Sus scrofa: one gene and its partners. The protein of the gene in region 1 binds, or shares a complex with, the protein of each later gene. Links are inferred from orthologs where the notes say so. Each region holds a gene or a part of one and is shown in the gene's direction. Other genes may lie near its edges.

The links.
Region 2: the proteins of CTNNB1 (region 1) and BTRC are in contact, whole or in part, in a crystal structure (PDB 1P22), measured with the Homo sapiens proteins. The link is inferred for Sus scrofa from reciprocal best matches to the Homo sapiens genes CTNNB1 and BTRC. Residues at the interface, in NP_001091679.1 of Homo sapiens: Tyr30, Leu31, Asp32, Ser33, Gly34, Ile35, His36, Ser37, Gly38, Ala39, Thr40; in NP_378663.1 of Homo sapiens: Tyr307, Arg321, Ser345, Leu347, Ser361, Ala385, Leu387, Lys401, Arg403, Arg426, Ala427, Ala428, Asn430, Gly444, Arg467, Gly468, Ala470, Ser484, Leu508, Arg510, Tyr524, Arg557, Phe559.
Region 3: the proteins of CTNNB1 (region 1) and PAK4 are in contact, whole or in part, in a crystal structure (PDB 6WLX), measured with the Homo sapiens proteins. The link is inferred for Sus scrofa from reciprocal best matches to the Homo sapiens genes CTNNB1 and PAK4. Residues at the interface, in NP_001091679.1 of Homo sapiens: Lys672, Arg673, Leu674, Ser675, Val676; in NP_001014831.1 of Homo sapiens: Ser331, Gln358, Thr404, Asp440, Lys442, Ser443, Asp444, Phe461, Leu475, Val476, Gly477, Thr478, Pro479, Tyr480, Trp481, Met482, Glu507, Phe516.
Region 4: CTNNB1 (region 1) and CTNND1 share a complex: the UniProt entries of both Homo sapiens proteins name them as parts of the cadherin:catenin adhesion complex. The link is inferred for Sus scrofa from reciprocal best matches to the Homo sapiens genes CTNNB1 and CTNND1.
Region 5: the proteins of CTNNB1 (region 1) and LEF1 are in contact, whole or in part, in a crystal structure (PDB 3OUX), measured with the Mus musculus proteins. The link is inferred for Sus scrofa from reciprocal best matches to the Homo sapiens genes CTNNB1 and LEF1. Residues at the interface, in NP_001159374.1 of Mus musculus: Lys180, His219, Ser250, Phe253, Tyr254, Thr257, His260, Asn261, Leu264, Asn290, Lys292, Phe293, Ala295, Ile296, Asp299, Lys335, Trp338, Thr339, Val349, Gln375, Arg376, Gln379, Trp383, Arg386, Asn387, Ser389, Asp390, Thr393, Asp413, Ile414; in NP_034833.2 of Mus musculus: Gly11, Asp12, Pro13, Glu14, Leu15, Cys16, Ala17, Thr18, Asp19, Glu20, Met21, Ile22, Pro23, Phe24, Lys25, Asp26, Gln31, Lys32, Glu33, Lys34, Ile35, Phe36, Ala37, Ile39, Glu45, Asp47, Leu48, Asp50, Ile51, Lys52.
Region 6: the proteins of CTNNB1 (region 1) and FBXW11 are in contact, whole or in part, in a crystal structure (PDB 6WNX), measured with the Homo sapiens proteins. The link is inferred for Sus scrofa from reciprocal best matches to the Homo sapiens genes CTNNB1 and FBXW11. Residues at the interface, in NP_001091679.1 of Homo sapiens: Leu31, Asp32, Ser33, Gly34, Ile35, His36, Ser37, Gly38, Ala39; in NP_036432.2 of Homo sapiens: Tyr244, Arg258, Ser282, Leu284, Ser298, Leu324, Lys338, Ala364, Ala365, Asn367, Gly381, Arg383, Arg404, Gly405, Ala407, Ser421, Leu445, Arg447, Tyr461, Arg494, Phe496.
Region 7: the proteins of CTNNB1 (region 1) and CTNNA1 are in contact, whole or in part, in a crystal structure (PDB 1DOW), measured with the Mus musculus proteins. The link is inferred for Sus scrofa from reciprocal best matches to the Homo sapiens genes CTNNB1 and CTNNA1. Residues at the interface, in NP_001159374.1 of Mus musculus: His118, Thr120, Asn121, Val122, Gln123, Arg124, Leu125, Pro128, Ser129, Met131, Leu132, Lys133, Ala135, Val136, Asn138, Leu139, Ile140, Tyr142, Glu147, Leu148; in NP_033948.1 of Mus musculus: Ala58, Leu61, Ala62, Ser64, Val65, Gln67, Ala68, Thr69, Asn71, Phe72, Lys75, Gly76, Lys78, Ile79, Glu82, Met104, Ala108, Phe111, Pro115, Cys116, Arg121, Met124, Ala128, Leu131, Leu132, Val135, Leu138, Leu139, Ala142, Asp143.

Annotation. Positions count from the first base shown.
Region 1 is NC_010455.5:25,162,970-25,167,094, forward strand, and holds the start of CTNNB1 (catenin beta-1), read left to right. Parts: upstream 1-1,325; 5' UTR 1,326-1,473; intron 1,474-1,497; coding exon of another isoform or gene 1,498-1,918; intron 1,919-4,125. Other genes in the region: basic proline-rich protein-like, read right to left, coding at 1,498-1,918. UniProt on the Homo sapiens protein: Key downstream component of the canonical Wnt signaling pathway.
Region 2 is NC_010456.5:112,566,264-112,569,763, forward strand, and holds part of BTRC (F-box/WD repeat-containing protein 1A), read left to right. Parts: intron 1-311; coding exon 312-561; intron 562-1,053; coding exon 1,054-1,172; intron 1,173-2,844; coding exon 2,845-2,955; intron 2,956-3,500. UniProt on the Homo sapiens protein: Substrate recognition component of a SCF (SKP1-CUL1-F-box protein) E3 ubiquitin-protein ligase complex which mediates the ubiquitination and subsequent proteasomal degradation of target proteins. Recognizes and binds to phosphorylated target proteins.
Region 3 is NC_010448.4:47,868,390-47,872,403, forward strand, and holds the start of PAK4 (serine/threonine-protein kinase PAK 4), read left to right. Parts: upstream 1-1,214; 5' UTR 1,215-1,424; intron 1,425-4,014. UniProt on the Homo sapiens protein: Serine/threonine-protein kinase that plays a role in a variety of different signaling pathways including cytoskeleton regulation, cell adhesion turnover, cell migration, growth, proliferation or cell survival.
Region 4 is NC_010444.4:13,206,432-13,210,609, reverse strand, and holds the start of CTNND1 (catenin delta-1), read left to right. Parts: upstream 1-1,378; 5' UTR 1,379-1,625; intron 1,626-4,178. UniProt on the Homo sapiens protein: Key regulator of cell-cell adhesion that associates with and regulates the cell adhesion properties of both C-, E- and N-cadherins, being critical for their surface stability.
Region 5 is NC_010450.4:113,824,984-113,829,253, forward strand, and holds the start of LEF1 (lymphoid enhancer-binding factor 1), read left to right. Parts: upstream 1-1,470; 5' UTR 1,471-1,532; coding exon 1,533-1,742; intron 1,743-2,447; exon of another isoform or gene 2,448-3,008; coding exon of another isoform or gene 3,009-3,017; intron 3,018-4,182; coding exon 4,183-4,249; intron 4,250-4,270. UniProt on the Homo sapiens protein: Transcription factor that binds DNA in a sequence-specific manner. Participates in the Wnt signaling pathway. Activates transcription of target genes in the presence of CTNNB1 and EP300.
Region 6 is NC_010458.4:52,323,901-52,327,400, forward strand, and holds part of FBXW11 (F-box/WD repeat-containing protein 11), read left to right. Parts: intron 1-292; coding exon 293-411; intron 412-2,214; coding exon 2,215-2,325; intron 2,326-3,184; coding exon 3,185-3,263; intron 3,264-3,500.
Region 7 is NC_010444.4:140,681,570-140,685,575, forward strand, and holds the start of CTNNA1 (catenin alpha-1), read left to right. Parts: upstream 1-1,206; 5' UTR 1,207-1,351; intron 1,352-4,006. UniProt on the Homo sapiens protein: Associates with the cytoplasmic domain of a variety of cadherins. The association of catenins to cadherins produces a complex which is linked to the actin filament network, and which seems to be of primary importance for cadherins cell-adhesion properties.

The DNA of each region.
Region 1 (4,125 bases):
GTACCTATGCATAAAGACCTATTGTTTGCATGCATTAATTACAGGGATAAAAGCCTGAAGATAACTTTCACTGTTGCTTTTTGTATGCTCTTCATTGTTTTGAAGGAAAAATAAGCATACAATAGACTAGACAAAGTGAATGGATCATAATTTTTTCATCTTTGACAAATGCCAATCTTGCTGGATTACAATGGAGACATTTCGAAGGGAAACGAAGACCCAGCTTCAGCCTATTAGGACGAATTAGAAAATGTTTTTAAGAATAGAAAATTCGTTTTTAAAAATTAGAAGCTGCCTGATAGCTCCTTCCATAAACAACAACTTGGATTTCTCAACTAAGTAATATCTATACATGAACTTCCTCCGAGGAAAAATCCTCCCCCAACAAATTTATTGATACTTAGTAAAGTGGAACCAGATAAAATTGAAATCTGTAAGAATTAACCTAGTTGACAGGGCTCTAGAGCTAGTCCATTTCTATCAGTCATTTGTTCACAGTAGGGACTAAGGACTTGTTGAATTGCGGGCTAGGCGCCCGTTCTAACACGAGTTCAGTCTTTGGGATTGGGTTAACAGGAGGCTCGGCCCGGTACTTCACTTCCAGATTCAAGCCGGTAGGGATGCGGAATCTACGATTCAGACCGTGGAGGTAATGTGCGGCTCGGCTAGGAGCCAAGTCCTGCAGAGAGCTTGGGGCCCAGACCGCAAAGACGGCGAAAGCACGATCGCGCCGGGGTCCCTCGACTTGCATAGGGGCAGCAGCAGCGCCCGGCAGCGCCGGGAGCGGGCGGGCCCCGACCTCAGCACTGCGGTTGGCCCGGTCCCGAACTTCCGCCCTCCTGGGACCTGTGCCGCTCGGCCTCGTAGGGCCGGGGTCCGGGTGCCGCCTCCCACGGGCAGCAAGCGGCCAGTCCAGCGTCCGCTCTCTTGGCACTGGACGAGTGAGAGCCGGGGGGCTTCGGGATCCCGATAGTGGAGAATTTCGGGGTCGCCCTCCCCCAGCCCATCCCGGCCCGCGGGTGCCCTGGCCGCCCCATCTCGGCCGACAGCGCCTTGGCGGATCTGTCCTGCGGTCCCGCGCGGCCCGGCAGCCGCCGGCCTCTAACCCCCGGGAGCGCCCGAAGAGCTCGCAAGCGCCCCGCCCCAGCCCGAGGCGGGCGGCTCGGCGGAGCGGGGACTACTTTCCGCCGCCCGCCCGCGCCCCGCCCCTTGTCCTCGCGCGGCGGAACGCTCCGCGCTGCGCCGCTGGCGGCAGGATACAGCGGATTCTGCGCGACTTATAAGAGCTCCTTGTGCGGCGCCATTTTAAGCCTCTCGGTCTGTGGCAGCCGCGTTAACCCGGCTCCGGGAGCTGAGAGCGAGGGGAGGCGGAGACGGAGGAAGGTCCGAGGAGCAGCTCCGGTCTCCGCCGAGCCGCCACCGCAGGCCGAGGACGGTCGGACTCCCGCGGCGGGAGGAGCCTGTTCCCCTGAGGTGCTTGGGTGCTCCTTTCCTTACCCTTCCGGGGCTGCTCCCGCTCCTCTTCGGAGCCAAACTTCGTCGCGGGCGCGCGGTCCCGGCGGCGGCTGGAAGCCGGGCCCGGTGCAGCCCGGAGGGCCGGGGTGGGGAGCTGGGGGCTGACTGGGGGCGCCGGGGAGGCGGCGGGGGCGGGCCCGGCCCGAGGGGCGGAGGGCGGCGGCCGGGCCCGGGTTCCGGTCGCGCGGCTCTTTGGGGGCCCCGGGTTTGCCGCTTGCGGGGAGGGGGCGCCGCGAGGGCGCGTTCGGGAGCTCCGTTGTCTGGCGGGGGATAGTAGGGGGGTCTGTGGTTTCCGTCCCGGGCTCCGGCCGCGGCCGAGTTTGGGGGAGGGACCCTGCGCCTCTGGATGCGCCGGGGCCGGGGTGGGGGGCGGGGTGGGGACGGGGGACTCCGCCTTCCGGGCCTTCAAGGGGAGTTGGGGTACAGGCGCTGGGCCTGGGACCCGAGGTCCCATCTGCCATGAGGAGAGGACCAGTAGACTTTCTCTTCAGAGTCCCTCTTTCGTGCTTAAGGACGAATTAAGAGAATCGTTAGTATTATTTTAATGCTCTGCTGGTGTGTTTGGTTTTGGCTCCTGTTTAAATCGGAGCAACTTTAAACCGTAGAGGATCCAAACTATTATTGCAGACGGAGCGATGCTCCAGGAGGAGTTGCACAAATAAAATCCATATCTAGCACCTTTATTTTCTTGTACGGTGCAGGTGAGTGAAAGCAGTGTGCAAGGAAGGTCCTGGGAAAAATAAGGGCGAGGGCGACTGGCTTACTGTCTCTTACCAAGTGACCCGCCGGACTCAGCCTCTGACTGCTTCGAGAATTTTGTTCGTGGAAATTCTTTATTTAGATAATTTCATGCCAGCTAAACTTGATTTTGAGAGCACTTTCCAGCGAGATGAATTTTTCCCTCGCTACGAAATTGCCCGAAGGAAATTCAAGCGTTGCAACTTCGTTCCGTGTTTTGTCTGGGGCGAGGACTTGGAATGCAGTTTCGAAGTTCAGTTCTCAAAGCCCGCTACTGGATCCGCTAAACTTGAAAGCTTTGGCAGTTGGGTGTAGTTGATTCCTTCGTTTTCAGTTCCCTGTTGGAGGGAGCATTGTCTCCTACTTTGTATCTTCCAGACATCTGTGGTCTCCCCTCCCCCCCGAGTTTGTGAGTGGTGAATGAGGAGACTGGCCTGCTGGTATGCAGAGGTCCGCAAAAGGAAATCGAGGAGTGGTTTTAGTGAAACGAGAGCTTTGTGTCGTGAATAGTGGTGGCTTAGACTAGACAGCAACTTGAAGCGACGGCTAGCCTTTGATAAAGTCTGGACTGATGTTTTTCAGATCGCTGAGTTATAAAGTATTTTGTCTGGAACTTAGGAAGCCATTTCGTTATTGTCCCTTGGTGTGCATTCAGTACCTTCAGCTATCTTCACCTTAACTTGTCTTCAGAAATGTTGGACATAGCTTGAAATATTATTTACCATAATGCTACTGTTTAGTATCTGCTTAAATCAGTGACAAAAACATACTTTGGAGGGTTTTTTGTGGGTTTTTTTTTTTTTTTTTTTTTTTTTGTCTGAACTAAGGCGATGGCTGCATTTATTTTACTTTTACATTTAAACCCACAAAATCTCTGGGTTAAAAAAAAAAGTGCCATTAACGTTTGAGAATATCCTTGCACAAAATTTGATTAATTTGCACCCAATATTCATTACTTTGACCTAGTCTTTGTTCTAAAGGCCATGTACAAGGCCCTAAAGTGATTGCAACAGTAACTCGAAAAACTTGCAGAAGACTCTTCTATAGGATTAAAGGAATGCTGAGACTATTCAAGTCTAAGGTCCTTGAGGGGGAAATAAAAAAACTAAACTAGAAAGTTTAGTATAGCATGTAGCTTAGAGCCCTTGTGGAGTTCTAGGCTTAGATTTTTCCATAGGCTAGAATAATCATTTAAGATAGCTTTCAGGAAAAACCAATTTTTAAAAATAAAGTGGCAAAAAAAAGGACAAAAAAGAAACATTTAGCAGTGTTCAAGTGTCAATAGGTATTCAAGAGTTTTCTTTTGAAACGTTATCCGACTACTTCCTCTACCAAGATAATTATGTAGAAAAGTATGGATCCCAGTATTAAAACATAAGCTGAATTGAACTTCCTACTGTTGCCAGTGATGACTGGAATAAAAATTATCCATGTAAGTGAAGTAGTGTATTTTTGTTTTCATAGATACTTCCCTCCTCCACCCCCCCCCATAGGAAGGAAAACATGAATTAGGCATATTTCTCTAAGGGTATTTTGAGATTTGGTCTTTCAGGAAAACTATCTGCAAATACTGTTTTTTTTTATTGGGAGGGGTGAAAAGAGGAGCAGAAGTATTATTAAAACTGGGGATGTGGAGAATTCAAAAGTTTGATTCTCTGTCATTAAAAGTAGCAGTGAGATTAAAACCCTAGATATGGACTATATAAGTATCTTCAGCCAGTGAAACTTGTGTTATTGAAATAATACATCTATCCAGTTACAATAGGATTTTGTTTCTCTCTTCATGATTTACTAGTTACTGATAATAATTGTAGAGGAGTAGGTGGTAAATTTTAAGTTTGTACTTTGAGCTAGGGTGGAAGCATGCTTGAT
Region 2 (3,500 bases), on another chromosome or scaffold:
CAATTAGCTGGTGACTGTGGCTGCAGGCTCATTCCTGCCCCCAAACAACTAGCACAGATTTCCAAGTTGTGTATCTTAAGGATTTCACACTGGCAGCATCCCATCCCCTTCCTCTTCCCACTCTCACAGTCCAGTCGTCTGTGTACCACTTCCCCATGCTCCATCAGTGCACTTTACCGCAGCTTAATCTCAAAGCTGCAAAAGGAGAGTAGGGTGCAACCCTAACTATGAGATTAGCATGGGAGGGGTGTAATGGATTGTAGCTTGAGGACCACTGCAATCTCAGATGATCTTAATGCTGTTTGTTCCAGGGTGTGGGATGTAAATACAGGTGAAATGCTAAACACATTGATTCACCATTGTGAAGCTGTTCTGCACTTGCGTTTCAATAATGGCATGATGGTGACCTGCTCCAAAGACCGTTCCATTGCGGTATGGGATATGGCCTCCCCAACTGACATCACCCTCCGGAGGGTACTTGTTGGACACCGAGCTGCAGTCAATGTTGTGGACTTTGATGACAAGTACATCGTTTCTGCATCTGGGGACAGGACTATAAAGGTAATAAGGCCTTTTTTAATAAGTCCCCAGCTTGAAATAGGGGAGTTCATATGGAAATCTGATCAAGGGCAGAGTGTCTAACCATCTCTGTAGAATACTTAATATTTAAATCAGATACTAGTTTATGTGTAAAAGGTAATGAGAGAGAAGTTGTGTGACAATTTTGGTTAGGTATTTTATTCCTGTAAATAATGCTGAGTATGAAAAAGACAAGGGTAAATTTAGGTTCAAGAATTAGTCTGCAAGACCAGACTAACCCCATCAGAGTATGTTAGTTTGAGGAATTCTCATGTAATAGCGGCCAGCTACAAATTAGCCCTTTGTTACTTTTAATTAAACCTGTCAGTTTTTGATTTGATTTGGATTGGTTTGAGAAGTTAAATTCCCCCTATTAGTCCAGTTCTATTTTTCTGCTTTCCTAAGGCTCCATTTTGCCATAGATTTTACTAGTAAAAGCACCAAATCAACTGCCAAGTGCTATTTTTGTTTTAGGTATGGAACACAAGTACTTGTGAATTTGTACGGACCTTAAATGGACACAAACGTGGAATTGCCTGTTTGCAGTACAGAGATAGGCTGGTTGTGAGTGGCTCATCTGACAACACTATCAGGTGAGCAGCAAGTGCCCTTGCCCAGAAGGGATCAGTATTATCCTGCCATTCATTGTTTGCACACAGATCAAACAAATCTCCAACTGTGTAATGTTTATGATAAAATGTTTTTCCTTTCTGTAGCTTTGTACAGGTCAAAAGTTTGCCCCAAGCAGAGAGGAAGCACAGCAAAGCCTTTTGTTGATGTGTTTCCTCCCTATAATAGTTTTATCACCGGATAGACCTATTTAAAAAGTACTGCTGGGAGTTCTCTTGTGGCACACTGGATTAAGGATCTGGCATTTTCACTGCAGTGACTTGGGTGGCTGCTATGGCGTGGGTTCAATTCCTGGTCTGGGAACTTCCACATGCCATAGGCGCAGCCAAAAAAAACCTAAAAATAAAAAATGAAAGGTACTGTTTGAATGAAGAAGTGGGCGAGAGAGATTAAAATGGAGGACTTTCTCTTTAAATTTCTCCTGTCTACAGTTGAAAAGTAATAATAAATAGCTAAAGACCTTTTCTCTTTTTCACTGTTCTTAAAAAAAGTAAAAAGATGTTTCCCTATTAGAAATGGCACATTTTGTTTGCTTAGCATTGCCTAACTGACCAAGGAGTTACCAGTCTTTGAAATTATGAAGAATCCACAAATTGAAGTGTCTTTTGGTGTTTTCCCTTCAGGAAGATGAATGACACACATAAGAATTTGGAAGATTCATCAGCCCTCTCCCCTCCAAAGAAGTACTAAGGGAATGAAAAGACCATTGAAAAAATAGCAGAGCTATTGTTATATCTAAGGGAATTATCATTCCTAGAAATCATTGGAATTAGTCACAAAGCATACAATTTAAATTAGCATATAAAACTTTTTGAGAACTTTGCAATTTCATTAGATGAGAAAAACTGTCCTAGATAGAGGACAAAAGCAGAGAGTGTCCTCAGTGACAGAGGTGGACATACGTTGTGAGAGAAGGATGTCACTGATACTGTGTTTCTTTTTTCTTCTTCTTCTTTTTTTTTTTTTTTTTCCTGTTTACAGAGCATCTGTAGCATATGGAAGTTCCCAAGCTAAGGGTTGAATCGGAGCTGTAGCTGCTGGTCTACACCACAGCCCCAGCAATGCAGGATCCTGGCCACATCTGCAACCTATGCCACAGCTCACAACAATGCCGGATCCTTAATCTGCTGAGGTAGGACAGGGATCCAACACACATCCTCGTAGACACTAGACACTATGTCGGATTCTTAATCCTCTGAGCTGCAGTAGGAGCTTCGGGTGTTTCATTCTTATTAACTTTGATTTCAGGAAACATTATTTTCTGTGCTTAGCTGTTTCCTTCATAGGCAACTGTATACATTGAATTCATCCTCTATATATTTTTTTGTCTTTTTTAAAATTTTATTAAATATTAGGGCCGCACTCGCAGCATCATCCTCTATATTTCTTTATGACCCTGATTACAGAATTATATAAGGCTTGATGCTTTGAAAATGTATACTACATATTTGAATTAAATTGTACATATTTCTGCCCAAGTTATATGGCAGAAAGGAAATAAATTACATTAAAAGCAATAAATTTGTGTATTATGAGTGTGGATTGTTTAAAAAGATATATGAAGTATGTTATTATAACATTCCAAACTTAGGAAAGAATACATGAAAATTTCCTTGATTCAATTTTCTCTTTAAGATTATGGGACATAGAATGTGGTGCATGCTTACGAGTATTAGAAGGCCATGAGGAATTGGTGCGCTGTATTCGATTTGATAATAAGAGGATAGTCAGTGGAGCCTATGATGGGTGAGTTTGCCAAAAGGGTTGTAAAAGCATCTACTTCTTAATCCCTCCTGCCTGAGGACATTTAATATAGCCTTCCTCATCTCTAAAAGATTACAGATATCACAGAAAGAGTCTGATACAGTATTTCCTATGTCTTTTGTATATTCAGCTCTCCTTTGTTTACTCTTTTCCAAAATATTCTTCCCAATCGTTTAATTGTACTTTTTTGCTCATGATTTTCATTAATATTTGGGGGGGGTCGTTATTATATATTTGTCTGTTTTGCCCTATAAAGCGAAGAGCCAGATAAACCCAGTATATCAGCATAAGCATGTAAAAATAGTGACTTATTAATAAAACTGAAATGTTGGCAGATAGTATCTTTGAGGGGGCTTAGGATTGTAGGGTCTTGAAATTTTATCCCTTTGAGTGATTTCTAAAGTATAGCTCTCTTGTCTTTACTACCTAGCATTTTATTCACAATGAGTTCAGTAATTCTTCTTTTCCTTCGGTCTGATTTCCAGTGGTTATAGAGTCCATTCATGTTGTGGATAGATCCCATGTCC
Region 3 (4,014 bases), on another chromosome or scaffold:
CATTCCAGCAGGAGAAAAACAATAACTATGATTAGCTAATCATCTAGCCTGTTAGAACGTGATAAGAGGAACAAAAAATAAGAAAAAGCAGAGAAGGTAAGTGGTTTAGTAGCATGTGAGAGGGACTTTGGCTGCTTTAGTCAGGGTGGGCAGGAACAGTCCCACTGATAAGGTGACATTTGAGTAAAACCCTGAAGAAGAGAAGGGACGGAGCCATGAAGGTACCAGGGGGGAGAGTCTATGCCCAACAAAAGGAATAGTCAATGCAATGACCTTGAGGTAGATGAGTACTTGATTTTTTTTTAGCAAAGTGGCTGGAGACCAGTGAGTGAAATCCAGGAAAAAAATGTTTAGTTTACGGGGGTTTCCCATCCTCCTCCCCCTCCTTTTTTTTTTTTTTTTTTTTAAACAAATCAATTACTTCTTTTTTTTTTTTTTTTTTCGTCTTTTTGCCATTTCTAGGGCCCCTCCGCGGCATATGGAGGTTCCCAGGCTAGGAGTCGAATCGAAGCTGTAGATGCCGCCCTACTAGAGTCACAGCAACGTGGGATCCGAACAGCAACTGTAACCTACAGCACAGCTCACAGCAAGGCCAGATACTTAACCCACTGAGCAAGGCCAGAGATCGAACCCGCAACCTCAGGGTTCCTAATCGGATTCGTTAACCACTGAGCCACGACGGGAACTCCAACAAATCAAATAAATACTTTTGAAAAAACTTATTAAAAAGATTAAGATCAATCAGTGTCCTGGTTCCAGGTCAAGTTCCCGGACTCAGACAGACAAAGGTCGTCCAAACTCACTATTTATTGACTATGATCCCAACTGAGCTAGTTCGCCCCGCTGAACCTCAGTTTTTAATCTGTAAAACGGATATTAATAACAGGGTTGTGACGAGTATTCAGCAAGATAATGCAAGTAAAGCACTTGACGGGGTGTCTGGCACATAGTAAAAGTTCAAAAGCTGTTTCTGGCCATAATCACCCATGCCTGCCTTCTACCCCCCATGACTGCTTTTGAGAGAAGGTGGGAAGGACTGTTGCAGGCGCCTAACCATTTTCCCCTTTAAGAATCTCAGCCGGCTGGAGCCAGCCTCCCCGCACCCTTTCCAAATTTTCCAATCCCGGCTTGGCATTTTCCTCCCTAAGGTTTCCGATTGGACGATCTTCACCAATCAGAGGCTGGAGCGGACCCTGCCGGGCACCCAGCTCCGCCCCTGAGCCGGCCCTGCCCCGGGCCGGTCAGCCCCGTTGCTATGGGGACTGGTGGGCGGCGAGGGGGGAAAGCCCCGGATGTTCGTTGGGGATTCAACATGGCGGCAGCAGTGGCCGTGGTGGCGGCGGCGCAAGAGAGCTGAGGGCGGCGTGAGCGCGCCAAGTTCCGGGCCGAGCAGCTAGGCCGCGAGCGACTGCGGTGCCGAGCCGGTAGGATAAGCGATCTGGCCAGGCGACGTGGGGGGGGTCCGGCGATGGCGGTGGGAGAGCGTTTACGGGAATAGGGGGCGGGGCCGCTGGGGTCAAAGTTGACTCGCGAAGGAAAGGGTCGCGTCGTGGGTGGGTCGCGGGTCTACGTTGAACAGGGGGGAGGTGTAGAGTAGGTCAGAGGTCGTGGTAGCAAAGGGGGCGTGGCGAAGGGGTGCAAAATTGGAAATTTGAAGTAGGAGCGTGTTGGAGGGGCAGGGGGGCGAATGTCTAAAAAAATGGGGGTCAATTTGAAGGGAGGATGTGCCTGCGAGGGTCTGAGAGTTGGAGGTTTAGGGCAGCAGCTAGTGGAGCAAATGAATGAGATTTAGGTTGGGGGACATCTGTATGGGATCAAAAGTGGGGCCTGACCAAAGGGGGCAAAGATCAGAACCTGGTGGCCCGACAGGTGATGTTCTCAGGGGTCAGAAGTTAAAACCCAGGTGGGACGTGTTGCTGAAGAGGAGGGGTAGGACATTCAAGAACAAGGTCAAGGGTGCTTCCTGCGGGGGCGGGGGGGGGCGGGGGAGGGGAAGAGGAGAAAGCCCTCCTCCCACAGATGATGAAAATAAGAGCAAACACTCCTAGAGCACTTACTGTGTGTCAGGCTCTGTTCTAAATGCTTTACATTACCTTTGATCGTGAACACAACCTTATGGGCTTGGTGCCATTATTAAGAGGTTAAGTGATTTGCCCAGGGTCTTCTCATGAGTAAGTGGTGCAGCTCAGATTTGAACTCGGGGTTCAGAGTTGTAGGCTCCGCAGGCTCTCAGATTCTCATGATGTTGGTTGATGCTTAATGAGAGTTAACATTGTACTCAGCGCCCTGTGTGCCCGGACTTATACCATAATCTTGTGAAGTGGGTACCAGATGGACCCACTTTACAGACAGACAAAGTGAGGCTCAAAGAGTTTCTACTGAGTGACAGAAGCAGATTCCAAGCTGAATCTTGAATGACCCCAGAGCTCCTGGCCCTAGTCACCACATCGTAGCTTGCTGAAGGTCTGTTCCTGGAAGCAGGGGGCTGGGCTGGGCAGGGCTGTCTCTTTGGCCTCCATGGAGGGGTGTGATCTGGGAGGAGAGGCTCCCCTGGGCCTGTGGGATGGGGTGTTTGTGGGTGGCCCAGAGTCCGAGGGAGTCTGACAGGCTTCTGGCGGGGGTCCTGGGGCGGTACCCTGGACAGAGTCGGGTGTTCTCTGTATTTAAAACCCCAGGCTCTCATCATGGTCTTCAGGCACGCCCATCCCACTTCCTACTGCTCTCCCCATCCCTCCCCAAGGTCCAAGCACACCGGCCTGTTTGCTCTTCAGCTCCATGGGCTCATGCCTCCCTCCAGGTCTTTGACTTTCCAGTTGCCTCTAATCTGGAACCTGCGCCTGACCAGCCTGCCCCCAGACACTCCTTATCTCGCTATTGTTCTCTATCTCGATGCTGGGCCCCTCGAGGGCAGGAATTTCTCCAGGTTGTCCTTTCCCTGAGTTTCCACCTGAAGCACTGCCTCGTCTGCAGAGTCTGCAGAGGATGCTGGTCGGTGGGGATTGAATGTTGGGCACGGGGCTGGGTGCTGTGTGCTGAGTCTGCAGCAGTGGACAAAATACACAGAGCCCCTGGCCCCTGAGGGCCCTCAGTGTCCCTCGGTGGGAGCAGACTGGACCCAGACCCCTAGCCTGTGATACATGGCTCCATCTCTACCAGTGGTGATGCCACCTGCGAGGACATGTTCCGGGGACCCGGAGAATGTCCAACCGGGGCCAAGAACTCTGTCCCTGGGCAAGCTCTGAAGGACGAGTAGGGGGATGGGAAAGCGTTGGCCAGGCAGGAGGAAAGGTGTGAGTGGAGGCCAGGGATGCAGAGTTGGGGGCTTGTGGGCAGCGTGTGGCCTGTGTGAGACCCCTAGGCTGCCCAGCCTGGTGGGGGCATTGGGCAGGGGCCGATGAGTAGCTGCCCCGTGTGTGGCACTCTGGGGTGGTACTAGGGAGTAATTCGAGAGGATGCTGGAGCAAGGGTGCCTGGCTCACACCCAGCTCCATCACTTACAGGCTGTGTGACTGTAGGCTGGGCCTGTTTCCTTCTCTGCAAAATGGGAATAATGATAGTGGCTACCCTGTAGAACTGCTGTGAGGGTGCAGAGCATAAACGCTAGGCCTAGGGCCTGGAACAAAATAGGAACTGGGTAAGCACTAATTTCTTTTTTCTTTTTATGGCTGTACCTGCGGCATATGGAAGTTCCCAGGCTAGAGGTCGAATCAGCGCTGTAGCTGCTGGTGTATGCCAGCAGGATCCAAGCTGCGTCTGCAACCCACACCACAGCTCATAGCAATGCCAGACCCTTAACCCACTGAGCAGGGCCAGGGATCGAACCTGCGTCCTCATGGATGCTAGTCAGGTTCTTTATTGCTAAGCCACAACAGAACTCCGGATTAGCACTAGTCTTGAGGCTGCCGCTGCTACAGCTCCCTGGGGAGGGTCTCAGAGGTGGTGGCATAGCCTCTCCATCAGCCTCCCGGCTTGCTCCGGCAGCCACCCTGCCCCCACCTGGCTCTGGCAGGGTCA
Region 4 (4,178 bases), on another chromosome or scaffold:
TTGAATTTATACTATATGGCATACATTGTTTTAAGAACTTTGTGTGTATTTTAATTACAACAGTCCTGTGAGATAGTTATTATCTCCATTTTATGGTTAAGAAACCGAGTCACAGAAAGGTTATATAACCTTTCCAAGGTCACAGAGGATATAGTACATTTACTTGAGTAAGTGTACTCACAGAGGAGGAAAATTTGAAGCCAGTCAGACTACAGAATCTATGCTCTTAACCCCTATTTTATTTATTTATTTATTTATTTTTGTCTTTGCCATTTCTTGGGCCACTCCCGCGGCATGTGGAGATTCCCAGGCTAGGGGTCGAATCGGAGCTATAGCCACCGGCCTACACCAGAGCCACAGCAATGCGGAATCTGAGCCGCGTCTGCAACCTACACCACAGCTCAGGGCAACGCCAGACCCTTAACCCACTGAGCAAGGCCAGGGATCGAACCCGCAACCTCATGGTTCCTAGTCGGATTCGTTAACCACTGCGCCACGATGAGAACTCCTATAATATAACTCTTAACTCAGAAAAAGAATACTTGTTTTTATCCTCTATTTAGGTCAAGCGTAAAAAGGGAATGGATGTCTTAAGCTTCAAGTTCACAAATAAATTGAATTTTCTAGACGTGAGACTTTCTTTTCCTTACACATGCTGTTATCTACTCTAAATATATTGCTTGTTTATGGGATATCATTTATTCTCCCACTCAATGCCACATTATTTTGATTTGGGGATAAATGAGAAGACTGATTTTCCTCAATAACCTAGAGGATTCAGTTTCCTTCTCATTGAAAGCATACACACTAAAAAGTATGAACAAGTCCAAGCATTTATTTTTTCCTAATCAGCCTAAATGCATTTAAACCAAAACAATGAAATTGAGTGTTTACCTCAGATATCCCCTACCATCCCATTCAAGACATTGTAGTCCTGTTTCTAGGATTTCTCTCTCCTTCCCTTCTTGTCTTCCTTTGGGAAAATGCTTTAGGGTAGAAAGCAACAAACTAAATAGCAGTAGGCAAATAAAATCAGCTTTTATTTGCTTCCCCACCCAAAAAGGAAGGAGTAAGAACCCCAGCATCAAAGAGAACTGACGCGCTTAGGCCCTGTCGTTTTAAAAAGCCCTTGTTCCCTAAGCCCCCTTCCCCTAACCCCCCAGCTCTGCAGTAATTCCTCAGAGATCGTACAGTCTCCACTTTAAATATAAATATATATAAAACTTCCCCCTGTCTCTTTTTCCCCTCCTCTCTCTCCTTTTTTTTTTTTTTAATTCCTATAATAAAGTTTCCTATTGGATAAAATCAGCTCCCTGATTTATGCCTGGCTCCGATTGGAAGTTCCCAGGGGCTGACATCACTTAGGAAAGCGAGGGGTAGGGCTGCCAGATCAGTTTGTCACCACCCAGGCTCCCTAGCCTTTGGCTGGGTGCAACTTCCATTTTAGGTGTTGGATCTGAGAGAAAAAAAAAGAGGGAGAGAGAGAAAGAAGAGCAGGAAAGACCCTGAAAGGAGGAAGAGGTGGCGAAAAATCAACTCCCTTGCTGGATTTGTCTTTCTCAGCACGTTGACGAAGGCTTGGGTTTCTTTCTTAGAGGACTGGTTTCTAGAAGTCCACATTTGAGGTGTGTGCCTTTTTAAAAATATGTGTATAGATGGGTGAAGGAGGATAAGCCAAGTCGAATTTTTGTCTTAAGGTAACCGGAGGGAATTTAGAAACAAGAGATTCTGTTACGCTGATGGGTAACTTTTAAGCGGTTATTAATTTTCCTCATTTGGGGAATTTTGGTATTATATTTGAAACAAAGTAAAATATTCAAGAACCAGGAACAAACTTCTGGGTCTCTCTAATATAGGGAGATGAATAGATTCGGAGGGGTGAGGGCAATTCTGTAAATTTGCATTTTGGTGTGTTCTTTTATTTCATATTTTTTTTCTAGGTTAGGCTAACAAACTTCTGTTTTCAGAGCCCAAACCAAAAGTTGGGTTTTTTGGCATGTTGCGTGTGGGTTGGGAAAGGAATTTGTCCGGGTCGGAAGCTAGTTATTCATGTTTTAAAACTTTTTTTTCCCTCCCTTTAATCATTGGATTTGTGAAAGTGGAAAGTTGCAGGGAGTTTTGCAGCTTAAATGGTGGTATTTTTTCCTCTGGAGTTTGAACAGCCCAGATCAGTTTCAGCCCTGCTGTTCCTGGGTGGATCCTTCTTTTACTTTTCCAGGTGCGGTGGGTGGGAGCCTCATTCTCCGGCTAGACTTAGCTCCCTGCTTTGCCTTATAAAAGAAAACAAATGGATCCATGGTAACTGAATCGCCATCTCCTTCCTTCTACAACTACCTTGATGGCAAAGGTTTGTGGAGGTGTAGGTTGAGTTGGCATGTACGATAACCCTTGGTTTCTGTGCTTAAAGGGATAAGGAAATTCTAATCATGCTTTTGCGTTCACCTGAGTAAAGTGGCGATACACATGAAAATATTTTGAGCTTTGTGCTCTCTGAAAGGGCCTTGGATTAAAATAATGATAGGCTAAGACTAAAATACCTATACCAACTTTAGTGTTTAGAAGGCATTTGAGAAAGCAAAAGGGGAATTCTTACTTTTAAACCAAACTGAAAGTTGTTTTTTGGAGGTGAGTTTTTCCTTTGGTTAATTAGCCATGAAATCAGAAATCTGTAAGAGCTGAAGGCTCATGACTGTGCTTTCATATCTTCTATTTAATCTTAAGATTAGTTTTTGTTTTGCAAATACATTCTTTCAAAAATACTGATTCTAGATAATTGTATAGCCAACTCATCAGTAACTGAAAACTGGATGTTTTCTTCCATCTTCTTTGAAAATGAGAATCAGTCTGAAAACTAACTGCAGTAGATACTGCCCTAATTGTAAAAAGATGGGCCTGTGTTAGCTGCTCATTAGCTTTAAACTGGTATGTATGTATAATAATCCTCTGATTTTGTGCCCCTCACCCCTCAATTCTTTTTAGACTAGAATACTTCCTTGGATTTCTTTTCCAGAACAAAAGTGTTTCTTGAAAGATGAGTTCATTCTTACAAGGTTGTGTCTTCAAGGGAAACAGAACTTTGTTTCTCCGTTTAATATAATTTATGCAAGAGCTACAGTAAGATTTTAATGTCTGTATAATTAGGAGTATCTCCTAATTATAGCAAGCGCAGTTACAAAGAAAAAAAGGACAATGTGTACAGTCCATTGGGCTGTAGTTCTTATTTCATTTCCAAATTTTCTTTCAAATGCTCTCTCTGCCTTGACGCCAGCCTAAGGGGGGTGGGGGGGTTCTTGGATCTTTGGAGGATTGGTCATGTTGCTGCCAGAGTGTTGGTTTCCCACTCAACCTTTAGGGGGAGGAATGAGGGAATTTGAAGGAGTACAAAGGCAGTTTGAAAATAGGTTCTGGCTGACTGAATGGTAGTAGTGCTTTGGGTCCAGCTTTAAATACTGGGCTTTGTGTAGCTGCAGTGAGCATTCTAGTTGACTAGCGACCAGGACTATTTCCACGAACTGAGGCATTGTTTTGACTGGGTGTGTACTACTGGAACCTTTTGGATGATAAGATGGAAGAAGACTTGTCTTTTACCTCACCTCTACCTGTTCTTCTAGGAGATATAATAAGGGATGTGAATAAGTAAATCTGTTATTTTTTGTTTGGCTCCTCATTTTGACTTGGGGGTGAAAAATGACGAGTAAGTATGAGTTGTACAGATTTTTCTTTGCTTGTGTGACTCCTATATACTGTTGGTTTCTTTGTTACATGACTAAGGTATGGCCTGTGTTCCAGGTGGGGGTCTCTTTTGGATGCTTAGAGTCCTAGTGCCTTTCCTAGAGTTCCAATTATGGAGAGTCAGGGGGTTAGAACATATTCTTTCAGCTAGGATAAAAATTGGAAACCTTTAAAAAAAAAAAAAGCTTCGAGTAATCGCAATTCAGCGTTAGGTTTATAAGGTAGTTGCTCTCTAGGGATGAGAGATGGGATGGATGTGCAAATACATTAAGCATGGAAATAACAAAATGATTAGCTTTGTATAATTTACTGCTTTCTATTTTGGTACCTGGTAGTCCCCTGTTACCTACTGCCAGCCCTCCCTCCCCCAACCCCCGGCTTGTTTTTTTGCTGAGTGCTAAGCATTTTGCATAAACTATTTGCTTAATTTTCCACAACAACCCTTT
Region 5 (4,270 bases), on another chromosome or scaffold:
CCCGCAGTTTCTTGTCAGTTTCACGCGGGCAAAAACGTGCCTTCCTTGGGTCACAAGAAGCGCGGGATCCTTCCTTCGCCAAGTTGCCTGAATCTTCTTTCTAGGCGCTCTCCGCACGCGCGCGCGCGCTCCCTCTCTCTCTCTCTCTCTCTCTCTCTCTCTCGCGCACACACACACACACACACAGACATACACACCCCAAAACTAGGACTAGTCCTACAGGCTCTGGGAAAAGAAAAAAGTCCTCAATCACCAGCTCCTTCTCGCCGTCCCCCTCCTCCCTCCCAGCGGGCAGCCAAGGAAAGCTGGAGGCGGGGGAGGGGAAGGGGAGGAGAAGCGACGCAAGTGGGTAGCTTTTCAGCGCCGGCGAGGCGCGGGAGGAGGAGAAGCGGTGGGGAGGCGCAGCCGCTCACCTGCGGGGCCGGGCGCGGAGGAGGGATCAGGCTGCGCGCTCTCAGGCCGAAGAGCCAGGACGCGCCCGTAGCCCCGCAAGCCGCCAAGCTCTGGGCGTCCCCCTCCCCCGGGCCGGGCGAACCCGAGGGGTGCAGCTCTTTGCTTTGACAAGCGGCCGGGCGGAGGCGTGGAGAGCAGCGAGCCAGCGAGCGAGCCAGACTGAGAAACTCGAGCCGGGAACAAAGAGGGGTCGGGCTGTGTGTGTTTCGGCTCCAGCTCCGGGCAGAAGCTTTTGGGTCCGCGGTCCCTGCTGTGACTCCCCGAGACCCAGCCGTGCCCTCCACTGCCGACTCCCTGAGCTTGCACGCACAAACTTTATTCTTGGCAAACTTCTTTTCCTTTTCTTCCCCTCCTCCTCCGCCCCCACCTTCTCCTCCGGCAGATTAAATTCGCCTGGAGAAGGAAAACCGAAGCGAAAGGGAAGGAAACAAGAAGCTCTAAAACGGACATCTCCAACCCTGGTGGCTTTTTTTTTTTTTTTTTTTTTTTTTTGCTCTCCAGGAAGTGGACATTCATTATCTTCTGATTCTCCTTGCACCGTCTCTACTGGGGCAAACGGAGCCGTTTTGCCCGAGTCCCTTATTTTTCCGGGAAACAAACTCCCAGATCGGCCTCCGGGGGAGCTGAGGTGGAGAGATTTGCGTAGAGACGCGCCGGCGGACCCTCCTCTGCACTTCGGAGACTCGAACCTCCTACGACCCGGGAGACGCTGGGGGCGTCGGGTGGCCGCCCGGGCAGTCTAGCCTAGCGTGCGCCACGCTGCACGGCGCAGACGCCCCCAGAGGCGCCGGCAGCGGCGGCCCTCGCAGCCCTGTGTCCTTCGGCCTCGCGGACGGGTGCCGGCGTGGGTCTCGGCCGAGTGGGAAGACGCGGACGGCCGCCGGGACGCGGACGCCGCTGCAGTTGCTCAGGCTGCCGGCCGCCAGCCCTGCGCTCGCCAGCCCGGCTTCCGCCTGCTGTCGTCCCTCACACACCCTTCCAATTCTCCTTCTCCTCCCCCACCTTTCCTTTACCCTTTCTCTCTTCTGCTGTCGCCTGGGGTGCTCCCCCAGCGGAGCGGAGATTACAGAGTGGTCGGGATGCCCCAACTCTCCGGGGCAGGCGGCGGCGGGGGGGACCCGGAACTCTGCGCCACGGACGAGATGATCCCCTTCAAGGACGAGGGCGATCCCCAGAAAGAGAAGATTTTCGCTGAGATCAGTCACCCTGAAGAGGAAGGTGACTTAGCCGACATCAAGTCCTCCTTGGTTAACGAGTCCGAAATCATCCCGGCGAGCAACGGACACGAGGTGAGCGGGCCGCTGCCCAGAGCGGCGTGGCGGGTCCGGGGGAAGAGCAGGGAGGGAAGGCTCTGGACAGCCCCAGCTGATGGGTCCCCAGCAGGTCTCCTGGGGCCGAGGTGGGATGGGGTGAGGGGCTGGGCTACTTTGGTCAACGTTCTTCGTTTGTGCGTGTGTGAGGTGGAGGGGGATGCAGGAAAACATTCAAAATGGATCCGTTTTGGGGTTCTGTGACTAAACTGTTGGTTTGCGGCCCTTAACCCATAACGTTTCGCCTTCAGACGTTTTCGTGGGGTTGAGAATGTGCGATGCATTAAAGCGAGGATGTCTGAACAGCACTACTGAGAAGTTCTTCCGTAGGACGGAAAACAAAGTGCACCCGCTCTCTCGATAGATGTCTCTGCAAAAATGCGTTAAACCACCAAAAGCTTAGGTAGAAACGAGCAGAGCCACAGGCAGAAAGGAAGGGGAGGCGGGCGTGGGCCGAGGACAGGCGGGGCCATCCCAACCGCCGCGGAGCCAGGCTCGCGCCCAGCGGGGCGCGCGGCGGGGGCGGTGCGGGACCCGGTCCTTGCCGCCGCCCGAGTCCCAGTGCCGGGGCTGGCTGTGGGGAGCCGTGGGCGCGCCGAGCGGAACCACCCCAGGGCGGGGGCACTCGCAGTAAGGTCCGCAACGCTAGTTTTCTCCACCCACAGCCACTTAAAGAATTGAAAAAAAAAAAAAAAAAGTTTATATTGGGGGTTAGTTTGGGCCCGGATCAGGCCTTAAATCTATGCAAAAGAAAGGCGAGCCAGAGTCGAGATGCGGCGGAAGCCAGGGCACCCACTCAGGGGAGAGTGGAAAGCACGTTATCAGATCTCTGGCCCGCTGCGGGCGATAGCGTTGGTAACCCGAGTAGAGTAAATAGAGACACGTGGGTGCTGGCGAGAGAAAGCCGAGAGCTGGACCTCGCGGAAGGGCTATTTCAGGCCGAGCTGAGAGCTTTGGGGGTGGGGGAGCGGGAGAGCGGATGGACCCTGATACCCGACACTGCACTGGCCACCCTTGTTCAACAACTGGGAAACGCTTTGGAGGAAATCCGGTAGAAAAGTCCTGACATTCAGAAGATTTCACCAACGCTTTTTCCCTCCAAAGAAATTCGGAGGGTATATCCTTTTTCCTTAAATGGCATCCTTCTGCCCCCAAAAAGAAGGCGTGTGAGGTTTTGGGGGCGGGGACATTTTGGGTTTTAAACAGCAAGTTTAAGAACACCTCTGAGTTACCTTCTTTATCCCAATGGCAGGGGTGAGTACGCATTTTGGAAGTCGGGGGCCTGGGAGCCTGGGTTCTAAAGAGAATGTAGGGATGTTCTGTCCCCTAAATCTTTCATCCCAACGTGCCAATTGTGCGGGAGGGGGCGAGGGAGGCCGTGGCAGCGGAGAGGATGCCCCCAAATCTGCTTAAAAGATTTGTGATTGTGTGTTCATTGGGGGGAGGTTACCAGGAGGACACGTGTTAAAGAACCAAATAACATCCACAACACTCGAGGCCAAACTCATATTTGTAGAGTGGCCTTTTAAAATTTCTACTCATTTTGTTTGTACGTCCTTTTGCTATAAATAAATTCGCCACCCGCTTCACATCGTCTACCTGTGTCTGCATTGGGGAGAAGGGCACTGCATTTGAAGCCCAGAACCCCTAGGTACTAGGGCTCTGTTCATCTTTGCTGGTGGTGAGTGGGCATGGGGCAGACCCAAGAAAAATGGTGAAAGGGTAATACCACTGATTTGCACGTGGTTGAGGCTGGGTGGATGGTGGTTACAGAGCTGATATTAACTGGGCTGCCTTTTACGTGTCTGTAGCCTTACTCTCAAATTTTCCTCCCTTTAACCACAAAATAGTTCACTTTTCTCTTGTAAGCTTGCACTCAACCAGCCATGGTAGGTTATAAGGGGTGGAGCTCCTGCTGCAACCAGTTTGGGACAGTTGCCTAAAACCCCCTTTTGTGAGTGGTGGGCTTGTTTTTATTTAAAATGTCATTTTCAGTTGCAAAGTGATATTTCAGCCCTCCTTTAATCAGATCTGATTGAAGTAAACAGTGGTTGTGAAGAAGCTATCAAAACGACCAACCCCGTTAACTCAAATTCCTATCATATTTAGGCATCCAAGCAGCCTTGATGTGTTTTAGCAAATAGCAGTCAGAATAGTATATGAATTGTTCCCAAATTTGTTTTTGTTACTATTTTCTTTATGCTTTCCAGTCCTGGGCAGATAATTCTCAAAAATGTATGCTGAAAAAAAGATTTCTCAGTAGTCAGCCCTAGCCTATCCTCATAGATTAATAGAATAAGTAGATTGAGTTGCACCTAATCCTCCTCCTCCTCGAGTTACCAGTGGATACACATAGCACTTTTGTCACAAACTCTAAGGTGATTTTCTTTCTTTTGTGGGTGGGGATTCATGCTGTTAGGTGGCCAGACAAGCACAGAGCTCTCAGGAGTCCTACCATGACAAGGCCAGAGAACACCCTGATGACGGTAAGACAGTAATACCACTCC
Region 6 (3,500 bases), on another chromosome or scaffold:
TAAAATCTGGCCCAGAGTCTTCCCTCCAGGCAAATGAATGTCTGAACCATCCAGGAGATGTTCTCTTTGTGAAGTTCTCAAGGTTTGGAGGCTTCACAACTTTCCTCTGTATTTCAGTCCAGTTTTATCACTCAGCAGCTAAGAAAATTTTATTCTGTCCAGTCCATTCCCCAACAAGAGTAATTTTTCATAAAAAAGTATTTCGGTCATTCTTAGTTCTTTCTCTTTAAGGTGTATTGTGAGAAGACTCTTCTGGATTCACTATTAAAAATATTGTTGGTTTGTTGGACAGGTCTGGAGCACAAGCACCTGTGAATTTGTTCGTACTCTGAATGGGCACAAGCGAGGCATTGCCTGTCTTCAGTACAGGGATCGGCTGGTTGTTAGTGGATCATCAGATAATACCATAAGGTGGGTAGAAGCTGGTGTGCTGACAGAGTGGGCTGCTTTTTGCCATGGTATTGGCTCATCTCCCAGGCCTAATGTTCAAAAGACTCAGTTTTGGGGGCTACTTGGGATAAGAAAACCTCACGTCACTTCTTAATTCGTCTGGCTCTGCATACTAAAGTGGGTAAATTGGGTACGCCCTGAGTGTTCTCTCAAGATTCCTCCAGTGCACAAGGTTTTACAACCCCAGCCCCACCCAAGACCACTTAATACTCTAACGCCTCACAACAGACGATGCTCCAGTCTGACTCTACTTTGCCTCACCCATAAGCTCCTGCCACTCTCCCTAACAGATGAGAGTGTGCTTTCTCCATCTCTCCCTGCACTGTCATCAGTTCCTGTTTGGTCATTTATTTTTATCTCCCTTTTTTCTCCCCAACATTCACTGTCCTTGCTTTCTAATAAAAATAACTATCCTTAAACATGTTTTGTCTTAAGAACTTTCCTTAAATATTTATTTAATTATTCCAAATAATTTTGCCACTGTCCCAACATATGCTAGTAGCTTTGCTATAAACAAATTGCCTGTTTGAGCAAAATGAGGATTGGGTTCACGATTATTTTTTAAAAGAGAAAGCAAGCAAGCAAACCACAATATAGCTATAACTGCCAAACATCTTCTTGATCATTTTAAGTTTTAGGCTATCATAAAAGTCAACCAAGGACTTGAATCTTGGTTCTGTTGCTTTTCTTTATGCTTCGTATTACTTTATATTTCAGCAGTAAACAGTTTAACCTCCTGATTGAAATCTCTGAGATTTTACAAAATAATAATGTGTATTGCCATAGAGTTTATAGAAGGGAACCACTTTGGAGTCAGTGCTGAGTGGTTCTGTTCACAGTAGGTGAGAGAAGCCACCCACCGTCACCAACACCGAGAAGATTTGTGGGGGTGGCTGTGGTCAGATACTCGTTGGATGTATGGTAGGAACTGCTGGGGGAAGAGGCCAAGAAAACGTCGTTATAGAGTTAGTTTGCTAACTGTGGTTTGGCATCTCAGTTTGCTGTGATTTCTTTCTGCATGATGATAATAGAAAAAATATATTCTAGAATTTAAAAGAGCCGGATGTAGTCAATGGGCTTCTACTTCTCAGACACTGCATGTACCTAATGAGAGGCTCCCATTCTAACCTGGTAACCTAGGCAACCCTCGTGTGCAGTCTGCATCTAGGAAGGCGTGTCCCTAAGCCTCATCAGGAGAGGGAGGCCACCGTGCCGATCCACCCGTTCTCACCTCAGTGGGCCTCTTGGTCTCCAGGCTAGAAGTGCCTGGGGTGGAAGCCCCGTGCCCTGGGCTGCATCTGTTAGCCGCCCACACACCCACATGCTTTTTCTTCTTTCCAGCCTGCAATCCTATCTCCCCCAGAAAAATCCTTCCTAGACCATTTGGCTACTTGGGTTCATCAACTCAGACATGACAAGAATGCCTAGGAACTAAATATAATGGACATTTCTTGTTTGTTGGTCTTATTTAAATAATGACATGCATGTGATTTTTTTTTTTAAGTTTCAAACTATATAAAAGGAAATATAATGAAAAGTAAGCCTTCCTTCCAAGTTAGCTCTTAAAAAACACACAAATTATATAAATGTACATAGAAATGTGTGTGTGAGTGTGTATATATGTATATATCTCTGTATTTGTATGTGTATAATGTGGACTGGGAGTGAGATAGAAATAAAGACTCAGGAAAGTGAAAAATCACATATGGATAGTGTGAATCACACATAGGAAGTTGATTCACAGAAATCTGTTCTTCATTCAAGGCTATGGGATATTGAATGTGGTGCCTGTTTGAGAGTCCTAGAGGGACATGAAGAATTGGTCCGATGCATCCGATTTGATAACAAGAGGATTGTCAGTGGAGCGTATGATGGGTATGTGTTTGAGATTTTCAAACGCACGGCTGCAGCCATATCCAGGGGGAAAATATTAAGCAGCTCTGTATGTGCCGGGTCCTGTGCTAGTATTTTCTGTGTAATGGGGGTGGCAGGTGTTATTATAGCATTTGGTCAAGTGAGGACACTCAGGCCCAGGCCCAGAAGGATGAACTGAGCTTAGACTTTTTACCATTATTGTAAATGCAGGGAGTAGCCTTTTAGGCTCTGTAAGAATTTAGTCTTTGTCCCAGCCCTAAATTAAACCAGACTGGTTTTTTGTTTTTTTTTTTTTTTGAGTTCAGTGATAAACTTCTTTTCCCCTTTTGGTGAATTGAACACATCCTCTTTAAAAAGCCTCGTGATTTTTAAAATGAGCAAATGGCAACTGTAAACCTTTCGCAATGACCTTATATATACTTCACAAACGGGTTCGTTGGCCTGTTCATACTCCTATTATTAACTTTCAGCATTTGCTTAGTTTGAAGAAAGGTATCCTTGGAATTTCACAAAGAGCCCTAGCTGTCAGCAGCACCTAGTCAGCCCTAGAGAGCCCCCTGATGAATGAATTTGGTGACATAGATTATCAGGTCAGGAATTGAGTTCAGATAACATGAAGTTGTTTTCTTATCTCCCTTAAAATAATATTTCTTCACAATTCCAGCAATTCTGAGAGTGTGTAGGTTCTTATTTTTTTCCAAAATCAAATACAGTTGGCTTAAAATACCTTGTCAAAACATCAGCAGGTTCCCCATTTAGCTCTTAAGAGTAGGCAGTTCGGATGCACTCCTTTCTCTCAAGGAAGGCTTCACAACACGTCACATGTTAACCTTCCCCCTGCTCTCGTTTTCCTTTCCAGGAAAATCAAAGTTTGGGACTTGCAAGCGGCTCTCGACCCCCGAGCCCCAGCAAGCACGTTGTGTCTGCGCACACTGGTGGTATGTGATCTCTTGAGATGGGAAGTGCTTCCCTGTGGCCGTTGGCCGCTACCGCTCGACCTCCCTGGGCCTGTCATTGGAAGCTTTCTGTGACTCACGCCTTCTGCGAAATGCATGGGTCCCTTAGTTTTGTTCAATCAAAATCAGAGAACATTTGACATTCATAGGATTGGGAGCTTTTTCCTACAGAGTATTAATGCACCTTAAAATGTGAAAGCAGGCTTTCCTATTTGTAGG
Region 7 (4,006 bases), on another chromosome or scaffold:
GATTGAATACTATGTTCTAAGGTAGCTAAGTGTAGCTGGAGGAAGCCACAGCCACTCCATGTAGGGGAGACCACAGGAGCAAAAGCTCTGAAGATGGAAACAGCATGGACTGTGGCTGGACAAGAATGGCCTCATTAAGGTTACAGTGGGCACTTGCACCTACAGAGAGTAACTGGGCCCCGCCTAGGGGATGAGCCTTGTGCTGGGTGCTGTAGGAGATACAGCTGCTGCCCTCCAGGAGTTTGCATTTCCTGGGAAAGGGAGATTTGAGTAGAAAAAGGTAAACATGCTGAGGGCAGGTCTCCCTAGCACCCTGTTCAGAGCTCAGCCCAAAACGAACAGTGGATACTGCTGTCATGCATAATTTTGGACTTAATAGACCAGTGCAGAAATCAACTCGTTCGTCATCCCATGATGGAGAAGGAAGTCATACCAGACTGAGAGTGTAGTATTTTTGGTTTTGTTTTGTGGTTTTTGGGGGGAGCGTTCAGTAGAAAGATAAGGAAGGAAGAGTGGGAATGAAATTCCCTAAATGGCCAGAGGGATAGGGATAGAAGCCAGGTCCTTCAAATGTGCGTGTGTGGGGAGGGGGACAATCTCAGGAGGTGATGCTCCTGTCACAAGCCTCTTGTTCTCCATCAGGAAGGCTGTTGGGTTTACCCATCTGTCAAGCGACCGGCTGAGTTGGGTGATTGCTAGGAGGCTTTCCCATCGCACATTATGAGGTCCCTGGAATTGGATTCGAGTTGCACTCTGCCTCAAGGTGTGAGGCTTCAGTTTTTCCTTCCGTAAAGCCAGGGAATGGGCCTGGAGCTCTTTTCTGGAAGCCTGTGCCCCGGGAACACCTGTGGCACTCGGAAGTCTGCGCCGCCGGGCCGCCGGGTCCCAGGGGCATCAGCGGGAGGTGGGGCCAGAGCGGGCGGTGCCCGGAGACTCACCTGTGCGCCGCGCGCTGACTCACCTGCCCTCCCCAGCTGGCGGGCTGTTCCAGGCACCCGCGCTCCTCCCTCCGCTCGGGGGTGGGGGTCTCTCCCGGCCAGAGTGCCCACTAGGGGCTTGGCAAGAAGAACCTCGAGGGTCAGGGGCAGAGAGCAAGAGGGCCTCTGGGGGGTCCGGGCCTGGCGGACCAGGCGCTCCGGGTCAGGGGCCACCCTGGCCAGCGGGGTGGCAGCGGGAGGCGCCGGGAAGAGCGCGCCGGAGGGAGGTGCCGGGAAGGGCGGGCGGGGCCCGGGACGCGGGGCGGGGGCGCCGGGCGGCCCATTTCCTCCCTGGAGCCGGACAGGGGCAGACAAAGCGGCGGCCGTTGGCTTCGGGCCTCGGGAATCTTCCTGCCTCGCCTCGCTCGCCGCAGGTAATTGCCTTCGCGCGGGTGTGGGCGCCCCTCGCTGGGCAGGGGGCTCCTCGGGCGGGCGGCCCGGGCGGTCCCCTTTGCGACCCCGCCTGGCCTCGGGCTCCGGGTGGGCGCCGCTGCGGCCTCCGGCCCGCTCTCGCCGCGGGGCCCCGGGCCTGGGCCCTGGTGGAGCGGGCGGGGCCGGCGCTTACTGGCGCTCGGGAAGTTGAGGGCCCGCGGCGGCCGGAGCAGCGCGAGCGGCAGGCCCCGCGCCGCCGCGGCGCCTGCTCTCGGGAAAGTTTCTCCGGGCTTGGAAACTTTGTTCGAGTAGCCTCGGTGCGCGCGCCAGGCCCGCGCTGAGCCCGCTCGGCCGCCTTCCTCGAGGGCAAGAGTCCGTGCGTGGTTCCGCGGGCGGGCGGGCGGCGGCGTTGCGTTTTCCGGGGAAGCGAGTGAGGTCTGTGGTTTCTGGCATCGCACCCCTCCCCCCGCCACCGAAACTTGCCGGTCAGGTGGACGGGGCGGCTGCTGGGCCCGCACCCTCGCGTTCCCGGCCCGAGCGCATGTGCGAGTTTGCGTGTCCCTTTCTCGGACACAGTCTGGCTGGGAAGGGGCGCCACACCCGTGTGGACTTTTGGCGTGTACATGTGAACCTTTGTTGTGAAATTCCTCGGACTTCTGTGCTGTGTAATTGGACGCCCTGAACTCTAATTAGTTCTGGTTTGCACGAGGGACGTTGGAATCTTTTTTTTGTTGATTTCTAAAGGGGTGTGTTTGTGTGGGAGAGGGAGAGAGAGAGAGAAAGGGAGAGAGAGAGAGGGAGAAACACTTGTTGGAAAAAATGTTGTCTGAATGCCTACTAACCTTGGTGTGGCAGGAATGGCTTCCCAATAATGCAGGCGGCAGTTGGCTCCAATCCAGGACTGAAACCCTATTATGTCCCTCTGCGTCTTTGCAACATTTTTTGGTGTTTGCTTTGTACAGAATTTACAATAATCTAGAAAAGAGTAAGGTATGTTCACTCTCTAGATTATTAAGGCGTTTCTTATGTGTGTTGAAGGAAGTGATTACATCACTGTATTGTTGCAACAGGATAGGCATTTCCATGGGAGGATCGTATGTTTAGCAGTGATTTTTGAAGATTGTATAGGTGTGTGTCACTTTAGGAAAGTGTGGATTTGTAAATCACCTTAGTGAGGATGTGGTACTTTAATCCATAGCTTTTGTCCAGTGATTTACTCTTTCTGACTTTTATCAAATTACAAAAATCATTTTTATCCACTTTCTTAAGGGCCCACAGTTGATTAAGAAATAGTCTCTGCCCCAAGAACCCACCGTGTAATAGGGAAGGGACACACAGCTTGGGTGTAGTGCAAGGCCGATGGCGATATGAACCACAACAGTAATGACCAAAAACTTGTGCGTGGGTCACACCTTACGTAATAATAATGATAAGAGAAACTCGTGGAATTGTGCAGGGGGATCTAGTAAGTTTTGTTTGGATAAGACCAGAGGGCTTCCAGGAGGGGACGGGCATTTGAACTGGTTAGAGCAGCAGTGGGGTTTTGTCGGGAAGAAGCATGAAAGGGCATAAAGGCGTTTGTGGAATTGGATTATAAATCTCTCCTGGTTTTCCTTATACTTTTGGCTCTTGTTTCTTAATCTTTCTGTTGTTGTTCAAACCACTTATATCCAAGATTCTAACGTATCTCAGCCCTTCACACCACTGATGTGGCATCATTCTCCCACCACCAGTCACATCTTTTTCCAGGGGTGACCTAGAGATCGGGGTGCCCTCTCCCGGGTTGAGGATCACTTCTGTACAGTCTCCCTGTCATCAAATGTAAGCTGAAGTCCAACACTTTGTGGGCTAAAGCTAAAGCTTCTATTTTGAGTGCAGATGTCTTAGCTCACCCACATGGTCAGCTGTGCATCAGAGATCTCCTTCAGTGTCCAGGGGCTTCGCAAACTCTGCAGGACCAAAATGAGATAAGTGACCTAACCTAGATATGGAGATGGGCAGTAACTGGCAGAGTTGAGGGATTTCTGAAAAGGAACAATAGTTAGTGACGGGACAGGCAGACCTGGATATTGGGGGTGGTGGTGGAGAGTCCTCTGATCTTAAAGGTCCTGAGATAGCAAAAAACTCCTTGTGTTTAGAGACCTAAGAGAAGGTTCGTGTAGCTTGGATGCATGCTTTGGGGGTAGGAAGGAGCCCTGGCATGAGATTGCCAGGGAACTCCAGGTCACGTGCCTGGATTTTATTCTAAGAGCTGTGAGAAGCCATTGTAGGAAGTTTCAAGATCTGATTTCCTTTTTAGGAAGATCACTCCTGCTGGTGCCTGCAAGGCTTGTGTTTGTGCACTAGTAGAAGTAGGAGGTTGATCCAGGAGGATGGTAGGAGTGAGGTGGTGGGGCTAAAGGGAGCTGTACTTTGGAGAAACGAGATAAGCCTTAGGGAAGGATTGGATGCAGCGGCCTAGGCCCTAGGCGGGTCTGTTGGTTTGTTGTTTCCTCATTGCTGCTCCTCCTCTGCTCCCACACCCAGTTTGGATTCCATCACTTACATGAGCTTTTAGTCATATCTCAAGTCCCCCTTAGCACTTTTCTGTCTGGTAGCAAACCTCTTCTCACCAGGTACATGGCACTTGATCTTATTACTGATATGCCTGTTGGCCT